3 linked regions of the Neurospora crassa OR74A genome follow. The protein of the gene in region 3 purifies or fractionates together with the protein of the main gene of each other region. This does not show direct contact. Links are inferred from orthologs where the notes say so. Each region holds a gene or a part of one and is shown on either strand. Other genes may lie near its edges. The genes, in order: NCU07712, NCU06520 and NCU02511.

Region 1 (3,748 bases), on a different chromosome or scaffold from region 3:
TTCTCGGACTTACATGATTCTCTGATGTGTATATGTATAAGCACCTTGTCCCATAAAACAGCGACCAAGTCGCGACCCAAAGCTTTGCGTGTAAACACCCCCATTCCTCTAAACCCAAGAAAAATGGCTTCCTTCGATTCGTTGTAAGCTCCGCTACTGCATCGTTGATGAACACATCTTGCAATTGCCGTAGTTGAATATTGCTGCGCATGCTCATATGAAAGAGCATTGCAGGTTCTTCTTGCTCAGCCAATAGGCTTCAACTTCTTTTTCTTTTTCTTATCCGAATCCCCAGACTTGCCCTTTTGAAACGCGCGCCAACTATCGATGCGCTGGTCTCTCGTCTTTTCCCAGTCCTCTTCGTGCTGCCTCTTGCGCTTGCGCTGCTCAGCCTCCTCGTCAGCTTTCCGCTGCTCGCGGCCTTCCTCCTGCATCTGCGCCTTGAGCTGTCTGCGTCGTCGCTGCTCGTTCTCGATCAGCACAAACTTGGTCTTTTCCTGCCACTTCTTTTCAAACTCGGCCGTCTTGAGCTCAGGGCTGTCGACCGTCCATTTGTTCTCGCGGATCAGCAGCATGCGCGCGTCCGCGATAGCTTCGTCTAGGTTCTTGCGGTGCTTCTCCTCCATTAGCTCCGTTTGCGCCTTCTTCAGTCTATCGAACGCCTCAGGCGCCAAGGGGTTTTTGGTCTTGTCGGGATGGATCAGCAGGGACTTTTTGCGGTAAGCAATCTTGATGTCGGATTCGGTCACGCCGGGCTTGAGGCCGAGGACTGAGTAGGCGTCGAGCCGGAAGGCTTTCAAGATACGGTCGATCTCGGCATCCTGTCGGAATTTAGATTGTCAGCAACTACTGAGTTGGGGATGTAAATGTTGGTATAGTTGGGCGTGGTTGTTGTCTGGCTTGCCTTCTCCCACTCCTTGGCTTCAGATTCCAGCACTTCAAGCGCATCCCGAGTGTCGGCAGGAGTTTCGTCTTTGACGTCTTTAACGTCCTTCACGTCCTTAGTGTCTGTCGCCATATTGTCGCCGGAATGGAGGGTCAATCTGGATGCTTGTTTGATCAATTACAAAGGGTTGATGGATAAGTAAGTTCGGTCTACCAAACGGAACGCAACTCCGGGGAAGTTTAGGGAAGTTCAGTAGTTGCGACTTGCGACACCTCCAGGAGCGCGGAAAGCACAGCTAACGCACGCCAGCGCTGCCAAGGCAAACCCACGGGCATGCAATGGGTGTACTTGATAAGCTGATAATGGATAAATGTCACATTGGCCCCACTAAAAAGTCGACCATCCAAAATTTACGGGTGACGGGCAGGCATTGATGGCTACAGTAGACAAGAGACCCCAAGACCCCATCATCATCACCAACCTAAACTCCAACCCACCCCGTCCGTCTTTGCATCTTCAATTAGCGATTCGTGCTGCAATTGGCAGCAACACAACCCTCGCTCACCATGCCTAGACGCGCAGCGTCCCCCACACCGTCCGAGAACGAGGTTGACATCGCGGGTGCTTTGTTCAACAACGACAGCGACTTCGAAGACAACAGCAGCAAGCACCACACCAAGAAGGGAGCTGTTACGAACAGCGGGCTTGACCTCGATTTCAACGATCTTCTCGGTAACGGCGATGATGGACTACCTAGCTTTAATGGCGAGGGCGATGATGACGAAGCCTTTATCGCTTCGCTCACACGGAGCTCGCAGAGAAAGTCCTCCAACATTCAGGGCAAATCAGTCAAGAAGGGTGGAGGTTTCCAGGCAATGGGTGCGTAGTCTTCCGTCCCATGGCATAAGTTGATGATGCTTGGGGCAGCTGCTGATACTCTCCTAGGTCTAAACGCCCATCTCCTCCGAGCGATTACCAGAAAAGGCTTCTCCGTCCCGACCCCCATTCAGCGCAAAGCGATCCCCCTGATTTTAGAAAGAAAAGATGTGGTCGGCATGGCCAGAACCGGTTCCGGAAAGACTGCAGCTTTCGTTATCCCCATGATTGAGAGGTTGAAGGGGCACAGTCCACGTGTTGGCTCGAGGGCGCTCATCATGTCTCCCTCGCGTGAACTTGCGTTGCAGACCCTCAAGGTCGTCAAGGAACTCGGCAGAGGTACCGATCTAAAGACCGTATTGCTCGTCGGTGGTGACAGCCTAGAAGAACAGTTTGGTATGATGGCGTCGAATCCCGATATTATCATCGCCACACCCGGTCGTTTCCTCCATCTCAAGGTTGAAATGAACCTCTCTTTGGCCTCCATCAAATACGTTGTCTTCGATGAAGCTGATCGCCTCTTCGAAATGGGTTTCGCTACTGAGTTGACCGAAATTCTTCACGCCCTCCCTCCTTCCAGACAGACGCTTCTTTTCTCTGCGACGCTCCCATCGTCCTTGGTCGAATTCGCCAGAGCCGGTCTTCAAGAGCCAAGCCTTGTCAGGTTGGATGCCGAAACCAAGGTGTCACCCGACCTCGAGAGTGCTTTCTTCGCAGTAAAGGGAGGTGAGAAGGAGGGTGCCCTTCTCCATCTTCTCCACGACGTCATCAAGGTCCCGCTGGGTCCGCCCGAGGGCACAAAGGAAGAGAGTGACGAATTGCAGGCGAGGAAAAGGAAACGCGAGTACAGGCCCAATCCTAAGGAGAAGCCGACGGAATACTCGACCATCATCTTCACAGCAACGAAACATCACGTCGAGTACATTGCGAACCTGTTGAAACTCGCAGGCTTTGCCGTGTCCTACGTTTACGGTTCGCTTGACCAGACGGCCCGTTTGATCCAAGTTGACAACTTCCGTCGGGGAAGAACACATATTCTCGTGGTTACCGATGTCGCCGCCCGTGGTATTGATATGCCTGCTCTCGCCAACGTCATCAACTACGATTTCCCATCTCAGCCCAAGATCTTTGTCCATCGTGTTGGTCGTACAGCTCGTGCGGGTCAGCGTGGTTGGGCCTATGGTTTGGTCCGTCAGTCAGACGTACCATATCTACTTGATCTACAGCTCTTCCTGGGAAGGAAACTTATTATCGGCCACGATCAGAAGAACCCTTCCTTCGCGGCAGACGTCGTAGTTGGAACACTAAAGAGAGATGGAGTGGATGTTAACATTGAGTGGGTTGAGAAGGCGCTCAAGGAGAGTGCCGATCTCAAGGCGCTGAAGGGTGTTGCCGCAAAGGCCGAGAAGCTCTACATGAAGACGAGGAATTCTGCGTCGAGCCAGAGCGCAAAGAGAGCCCGCGAAGTTACGCAGTCCAGGGGCTGGACACAGCTCCATCCTTTGTTTGGAGAAGAAGCCGCTGAAGCCCAGGCAGCTCGCGATGATCTTCTCAGCAGGATAAACCGCTTCAAGCCCCAGGAAACCATCTTTGAACTTGGCCCTAAGGGCAAGTCTAGCCGCAATAAGGCCGCGGAAGTTGTACGAAACATGCGTTCCAGATTCAAGGAGCGCAAGACTACCAACGACGAGGATGATGAGGACGTGGACATGGAAGATGCCGAGGGTAAACCTGACGGCGAGGAGACCAATGCGTTCGAAGACTTTGAGGATGAGGAAGAGGAGGGAGAGGCGGAAGAGGCAGAAGAGGCGGAAGCCAAGGAAGACCCATACGCCGACGACTCGGATTCGGAGATGGAGGTTACAGTATCCAGCAGCATGCATACGAAGAAGAAGGGTGGCCCGGTCAACTTCCAAGACCCCGAGATCTTCATGTCCTACACGCCTCGCACCACTAGCCTTGCGGAGGAGAAGGCTTACGGTGTTC
Region 2 (3,748 bases), on a different chromosome or scaffold from region 3:
GGTGATAAAAAAGTGGGGCCGTCCCTTTCGGATGTTTGTTACGGAGCCGATCGTCCTCACTCTCTCACTACTGTCAGGATTCTCTGATGCCCTCATCTTTATGCAGATCCAGTCCTTTGTTCTGGTCTACAATCAATGGGGATTTTCCAAGATCCAACTTGGCCTTGCTTTCGTCCCAATTGGCTTAGGGTACCTGATCGCCTGGCTGTCCTTCTTACCAGTCTTTAAGCGCAACAAGAGGGCGCGCGATCTGAAACCGCATAGCGAGCATGCGCAGTATGAATCTCGGCTATGGTGGCTTCTCTGGACTGCGCCATGCTTGCCCATAGGTTTGATCATTTTTGCATGGACGTGCAGTGGACCGCCCATACATTGGATTGGGACCATGGTCGGGTCTACCATGATTGGCATTGCAAACTACTCCATCTATATGGCCACCATAGACGTAAGCTTAGGTTCTACCTCATTGACTGACAAAAGACATGCTAACCAAATACTCAACAGTATATGATCTGCGCTTACGGTCCCTACTCAGCTTCTGCTACCGGAGGTAACGGCTGGGCTCGCGACTTCCTTGCTGGTGTTCTAACGGTGCCGGCCACGCCCTTCGTCAGCAACATTGGCGGGACGAGGCACTTGGAAATCGCAAACACCATTCTATTCGCTATATCCCTTCTTCTTGTTGCGGCTATCTACATAACGTATATCTACGGACCAACTCTCCGTAAGAAGTCCAAATACGCGCAAAAGCTGGCCAAAAATACCACCCTAGATGAGTTCGGACGCTCGCGGCCTCCTTCCCAAATCTCCGATCGGGACCAGCTCTGTCTCTGACGAGATACATAGAGATCTTGTAGAAGACTCCTTCTGATTTCGAGTGTGACACGCGTATCTTTTAACTATACGGGGTATGTTCTTGGCTTGACCTTCGTCATTGACTCAATGCGTTCTGAACGTCGAGACCAGGGATTCGCCTGTGATGGGACGACTCTGGATTCTTACCAAAGCCGCTTACTGAACCTTCTGGTGGGAAATTCTCGGACTCTGGAAAATTGGGTGCTATTACAGGACGATGAAATATCTTAGCAAGGATATGTTACCACATGCGTACATGTTTTGCGAATATTTCGAGCAGCAATTCCTGACAACGTTGGCAGTTCACGGTGGCTTTTTGTCGAATTACCAGTACCCATGTATTATTAGCAACATTTGATAAGCAGCTATCACGAGCCTTGTAGCCATATCGACATGATCATTTCCAAGACACATGCAATGGTGGTGTTTTGTGTTTTATGTTGAAGGCGCATGGTGATTGTTATGATACAGATACAGTGCGAGTCGACACGGCTCACTTACACAGCAGGCGAGAGCCCCACTTTGATCTGGCCAAGGACCCAATTCCACTTTCAGTGCAACGGCCCCGAGTGCCAGTCCACTGAGAGCCACTGTGTTGCGGGGATCGACATGGACGTTGAACTTTTTTCTTGCCAATACCCAGAATATTGTCTTCCAGTCCCTTGAAACTCCCCATTTCCAATTGATTTTTGCCAGCACCACCACACCTCGAGGTCTTTTTGCAGTGAAATCATTCAAAATGGCGGACGACGGTGACATGTTCCTCAACTTTGAGATCGGAGATGCTCCGATCAAGCAGACGGTCAAGTACACAGGTGGCCGGTGGAGGGACAGAGTCAAGGCGCAAAAGGGCGAGAAGGGTGGACAGGATCAGTCAAAACAGGCCTCGACAGCTCGACGAGATACCGGCGCCGACTACTACACGAACAGAGCCGCGAAACGTCAACGGACAGAAGATGGCGACTCTGGCAGATTCTCCAAGACCCCACGAACAGGCAATGCCGCCGAGAGAGGTCCGCCGCCGCCGCCGACACATGCCATGAAGACTGGCCTCGTATCGTCGCGACTGTTTACTTCGAATCCCGTTCCCGTAACCGACTTCGAGGAGCTTCCCCAAGCCGAAGAAGCCGAGCCTGCACAACCTTCGAACGCTCCCCTCAGTGCCGAAGCAGAGAACTTCCTCTCGTTGGGTCTCTCCCGACGTGTATCCCAGCACCTGGCGACGAAGCTCGAGATGAAGGCCCCGACCGCCATCCAGAAGAACACGATACCACAACTAGTCAAGGAGGATAGCGATGCCTTCCTCCAAGCCGAGACGGGTTCCGGAAAGACGCTAGCATACCTTCTCCCCATTGTCCACAGGATATTGGCCCTCAGTCACAACGAGGACGGTACCCCAAAGACCACCAAAGTGCACCGCAACTCGGGACTCTTTGCTATCATTCTTGCTCCTACCCGCGAACTCTGCAAGCAAATTGCCGTTGTCCTCGAAAAGGTGCTGCGCTGTGCTCCTTGGCTAGTCTGCACCACGGTAATAGGTGGTGAAAGCAAAAAGTCAGAGAAGGCGCGCATCAGAAAGGGTGTCAACATCCTAATCGCTACTCCCGGTCGCTTGACAGATCATCTCGACAACACAAAGGTTCTCGACGTTGGTACGGTCCGCTGGTTGGTACTCGATGAAGGTGATCGCATGATGGAAATGGGTTTCGAGGACGATATCAAGACTATTGTTGGCAAGATCAGGGCTGGTACACTACAGAAGAAGAACGCCGAGGGTGTGGTTTTGGACGGCGTTCTCCCTTCGAGGAGAGTCACGGTTCTTTGCTCGGCTACAATGAAAATGAACGTCCAGAAGCTGGGTGAGATCAGTTTGGAGGATGCTGTCCACATCACAGCGTCCAAGAGCGATATGGAGAAGGATGCGGAGACTGGTGCTGTTGAGACGGCATTCTCCGCGCCCGCCCAGCTAAAGCAGGCCGCTATCGTCACACCCGCCAAGTTGCGCCTGGTGACGCTTATTGCCTTGCTCAAGTCAACTTTTGCCAGGAAGGGCTCGGTCATGAAGGCTATCATCTTCATCTCGTGTGCTGACTCGGTTGACTATCACTTTGAGCTTCTCAAGTCTACCACACCGCGTGCTGAGCCCGAGCCCAAGCCTGAAGGCGAAGCTCCCACCAAGCCGAACATCCACATCGAGTCGACCGTCGCGCCAGCAACATACATTACCTCCCCAGCCAACCCTACGGTGATGCTACACAAGCTCCACGGTTCGCTCGCCCAGCCCGTCCGTAGCGCCACCCTCAAGGCCTTCAGCGAATGCAAGGACCCCGCCGTGCTCATCACCACCGATATCTCCTCCCGTGGTCTCGATGTCCCGGCCGTCGAACTTGTCATCGAGTACGACCCGGCCTTCGCCGTGCCTGACCACGTCCACCGTATCGGTCGTACCGCCCGTGCCGGTCGCGCCGGTAAAGCCGTGCTCTTCCTCCTCCCCGGGTCCGAAGAAGGCTACATTTCCATCCTGCCCAAATCGACCCCCATCGCACCCCAGCTGTACGATTCCATCCTCCAAAAGGGCTTCGCCACAAACATCAACGTGCCTGGCACCGAGTCCGGAGTCCTCGAAACCGATCGTCAATCTTGGGCCTCCCGCGCCGAAGCTCTTCAACTACACTTCGAACAGCGTCTCCTCGCTCCTCTGCCCGGCGCCACGCCCGTCTTTGAATCCAAAAGCGAGAAATTTGCCGCCTCCAAGCAGGGCAAGAAGGGCAAGAAGGACGCCAAGAAGGATGAGAACAAAACACCTGACAACCCTCTCCTCGTCTCCGCCCGCCAAGCCTTCCGCTCGCACATTCGTGCGTACGCCACGCACGTTCGCGAGGAGCGCGTCTAC
Region 3 (3,748 bases):
AAGTACAGTTAAGAACGATATGGAAAACGCACTTTTCCTCAACGGCAACGGAACACGTCGAATAGACAACGTAACCACCAGTCTTGCTGGCATGGTCAACCGAGTCGATGGCAGCCAGGAGAAGCTGCTTTTGGAGATGGGGGAGCTGCAGGAAGTCCTTCTCGTCTCTGTTGGTCTTAACAGAGGGATCCTTGGCAATGACACCAGTGCCCGAGCATGGGGCATCGAGCAAGACTCTGTCAAAGCCACCCATGACCCTGGGGAACTCACGCGCATCGTAGTTGCATACGATAACGTTTCTTGCGCCCAGTCTGTGAATGTTGCCGATCAAACCTTTGGCACGCTGCTTGCTGGGATCGTTCGCAAAGATCACACCGGTGTTCTTCATCAACGCCGCCATATGGGTGGTCTTGCCACCGGGGGCAGAGGCCATATCGAGAACACGCTCACCCTCCTGGGGGCAGAGAGCCATCACGGGCAGGAACGAAGACGCGGCCTGGAGGATGTAGTGACCAGCCAGATACTCAGGCGTGGCACCGAGGGGAACGCTTTATGCCCCAGTTGTTAGCCATTTGCATGAATCGCGTCGTTGTAGTCCTGATTTAGAATATACGTACTTCGAGTCAAAGACTTGCAGACCGACCTTGGACCACTTGCCTACAGGCTCGAGTGTGACACCGCGGTTGATGAGTGCTTGGGCAAGATCGCGGCGATGTGTTCGGAGGGTGTTTGTACGGATAACGACGGGGCGGGCACTCTCGTTGGCTTCGAAAAAGGCGAACGCCTCTCTGGGAGGGAACAGGTTGCTACAAACAGTCAGACAGTTTCCCCACTGGTGGTATCGCCGCAGACAGGCATGCGACAGGTTGTAAAACATACAAAAGCTTTTCAGCGAGGTACTCGTTGTAACCGTAGTCTGGCAAAACCTGAAGTTAACATTTGTGCATTTCACGAGAAGTATTGCGCAAGGAACATCGGGTCCTTACAGGCACAGATATCCTTGATGAGTTGGCTGGTGTACTCGGCGCGACTCTTGCCCTCTTCCGCCGAATTCGAAAAGTCGTCCAGGATACGGATGGCGTCTGTTATCCTCGTTCTCAACATCTGGAGATCGGGTGCCAGCAAAGTTTTGGTCTTAGTCTGAAGTTGGTCGTCGTCATCACCGAGGTCATCACCACCAGCGATGTTGGTCTGGAGCGCCTCGTCGCGCAATTCGGCCTCGTTCTCCTCTGCTTCCTTCTCTCTTTGCATATCCAATTTCCTCGAAAGACCCTCGATGTTGGCGGCTGTGAGCTTCTCCTCTCTATCCTCTTCGTCATCCTCATCGTCAGAGAAGACGAATGCCTCCTTCTTGGTAGCACCGTCCTGGTCGGAATCGTAAACCGAGTCGTCGTCAGTGCCGAGGAAATCGTCTCCTAGCTTTTGAACGTCCATCTCATCGCCGTCGATATCAAGGCCCTCCAGGTCGGACGCGCCAAACTCGTCGTCCATCTCCTCGTCATGATCGGGCGAAGGCTGCTTTGCCTTCTTAGGCTTCTTGGACTCCTTGGACCTGTGGGCGGGCTTTGTGCCAGTCTTCTTCACCTCCTTGACCTCTTTCTTGGCGCCCTTGACTGCGACAGTGTTGGAGCCGGATGTCTTGGGCTGCTTCTTGACAATCTTCTGCTTCTTGGATCTTCTAGTGTCGACTTCGGTCGTGGTTTCGTCAAAGGGAATGCCCTTCTTGCGCTTGAGGTTGGCGAAGTGCTCCTCCGAGAGGGGCTCAGGAGGGCCCTGTTTCTGCATGCGACGTCCGACACCCATTTTGATGGTATTGCTGGTCGTCTGGTGGTGATTGGGATGTTGTTGGGGTTGGTTTGAACACTGATAGCCCACCATCGACAGGCGCTTGTGGATATTTCTCCGGGTCGATTTTCTTTTCTGAAAAAGCTTATCGATAGCAATGCCAAGTCTCTTTCCTCAAATCGGGTTCCACCTCACTGCGGTCCCAAAAGGTGAGCCATTGGTCAGTGCCCCACATTAGTCAAGCTGGGCCAAGTTCGGAATCCCTGTAGCAACAGCTGACGCTACCCCTGGAGCTGGGCTGTTCTGGAGTAGGGAACAGCTGCCCCTGGAGCCCGGCATGAACGGCGCCCCCGGAGGCAGGCGGCCTGGAGGTATAAGGTACCTAGAGGTAGGAAATGGAAGGACCGTCTGACGGACCTCGCAGGAGAGGCGATCAATGCGGGCAAAGGAAAGTAGAAGGATGACGGGATGAGGGCGGGCAACCTGGACCGGGCGGACAGCTTGAAGCGAAGGGGGCAGGCAGGCCTCCCGGGCAGGCGCCTGCCGCCTGGTCTAGGCGCACCCGACGCAGGGGGAAGCACTGAATGGAGCCGGCGCCGGTGGGCGGTGGACGCCCCGGCCGCGAGGTCCCGTGTTAACACATCACTCAAAAGCAGGCAGGTAACCTGAGAGGTACTAGAGGTACCTTCCGTCTGCGCTGAACAGTTGCGGCATGTACAAACACACTGGACAGCTGGAGAGGCATCTCACCTCAGCACCTTCCATCTTTCCTGCTGTATCTTTCATCTCTCACGGTACTAACTTCCCGTAACAAACGACGTCTCCTCTTGCTGCTTTGCATCCTTCAACAACCGCGATTCTTCTCTATTCTTTCTGCTGGAGCATTGAAGTGAGGTGACATCGAGGTACCTGCTCGCCTTTACTTTACGTATCTGTAACTGAGCGGCAAATCGCGACTCACCTCTCACCCACAGTTTGGCGGCGGGTTTTACTGCGTACCTGCCTTCTGGACCTTGCGTTAATCCTTCCACCTCCAACCTCCTACCTACCTCTACCTACCTGATTCATCCGTCCTCTTTCCCCCTCCCCATTTCTCGGGAGCTCGGTCATTTTCCCCCCAAAGTACAACCAACCACCACCACCACCGCCTCCTTTCACGTCGCCGCCATTCCATTCAGTCCACGGAGCTTCACGAGCCTCCATTTCCCCAATCTTTCTACTTCCCAGCGGATTCACCTTCCAGCCGCTTTTGATAAGTTGGCTGCTAATCTTCGTCACTCTGCGCGCAGCTTAGCGCAACACCACCGCCCATCATGGCTCAGGCCCTACCCATCAAATTCCAGGAGCTGCTGCAACTCAGCGCCCTCGGCATCAACCAGACTGCCATCACTTTCAATACCTGTGTACGTTGTCCTCACCTTGCTCTGACTCTGCTAGTGACAGTTGTCGCGCCTCCTCTGGCACCCCTGCTGACGTGAACCCCCCGCTCCCAGACTCTAGAATCGGACAACTGGGTGTGTATTCGCGACAAGAAGGACGAGGCAGCGTCCCCTGAAGTCATCATCGTCGATCTCAAGAACGGCAATAATGTTATCCGACGTCCCATCAAGGCCGACAGTGCCATAATGCACTGGACGCGCCAAGTAATTGCCCTCAAGGCCCAGGCGCGCACACTCCAGATTTTCGACCTCGAAAACAAGGCCAAGCTCAAGTCGACAAACATGAGCGAGGATGTCTTGTTCTGGAAGTGGGTTAGCGAGACCACGCTTGGCTTGATCACAGATGGCTCTGTTTACCATTGGGATGTCTTCGACCCGAACCAGCCCGCTCCGGTCAAGGTCTTCGATCGTAATGCTAATCTCCAGGGCAACCAAATAATTAATTATCGGACCAGCGCCGACGGAAAGTGGATGGTTGTTGTCGGTATCTCACAACAGCAGGGCCGCGTTGTTGGCGCCATGCA

Evidence for each region.
Region 1: the proteins of NCU02511 (region 3) and NCU07712 purify together in Saccharomyces cerevisiae (affinity purification with mass spectrometry; 7 studies listed by BioGRID). This does not show direct contact. The link is inferred for Neurospora crassa OR74A from reciprocal best matches to the Saccharomyces cerevisiae genes NOP2 and DBP10.
Region 2: the proteins of NCU02511 (region 3) and NCU06520 purify together in Saccharomyces cerevisiae (affinity purification with mass spectrometry; 3 studies listed by BioGRID, with this or other methods). This does not show direct contact. The link is inferred for Neurospora crassa OR74A from reciprocal best matches to the Saccharomyces cerevisiae genes NOP2 and DBP7.

The regions. Positions count from the first base shown.
Region 1 is NC_026504.1:2,109,857-2,113,604, forward strand, and holds the start of NCU07712 (ATP-dependent RNA helicase dbp-10), read left to right. Parts: upstream 1-1,338; 5' UTR 1,339-1,452; coding exon 1,453-1,765; intron 1,766-1,831; coding exon 1,832-3,748. Other genes in the region: NCU07713 (DnaJ domain-containing protein), read right to left, coding at 246-821, 905-1,018. UniProt on the Saccharomyces cerevisiae protein: ATP-binding RNA helicase involved in the biogenesis of 60S ribosomal subunits and is required for the normal formation of 25S and 5.8S rRNAs.
Region 2 is NC_026504.1:1,508,834-1,512,581, forward strand, and holds the start of NCU06520 (ATP-dependent RNA helicase dbp-7), read left to right. Parts: upstream 1-1,497; 5' UTR 1,498-1,594; coding exon 1,595-3,748. Other genes in the region: NCU06519 (multidrug transporter), read left to right, coding at 1-445, 505-834. UniProt on the Saccharomyces cerevisiae protein: ATP-binding RNA helicase involved in the biogenesis of 60S ribosomal subunits and is required for the normal formation of 25S and 5.8S rRNAs.
Region 3 is NC_026501.1:2,564,229-2,567,976, reverse strand, and holds the start of NCU02511 (S-adenosylmethionine-dependent methyltransferase superfamily domain-containing protein), read right to left. Parts: upstream 2,293-3,748; 5' UTR 1,879-2,292; coding exon 987-1,878; intron 917-986; coding exon 880-916; intron 807-879; coding exon 618-806; intron 549-617; coding exon 33-548; intron 1-32. Other genes in the region: NCU02510 (clathrin heavy chain), read left to right, coding at 3,099-3,188, 3,279-3,748. UniProt on the Saccharomyces cerevisiae protein: S-adenosyl-L-methionine-dependent methyltransferase that specifically methylates the C(5) position of cytosine 2870 (m5C2870) in 25S rRNA. Required for 60S ribosomal subunit synthesis and processing.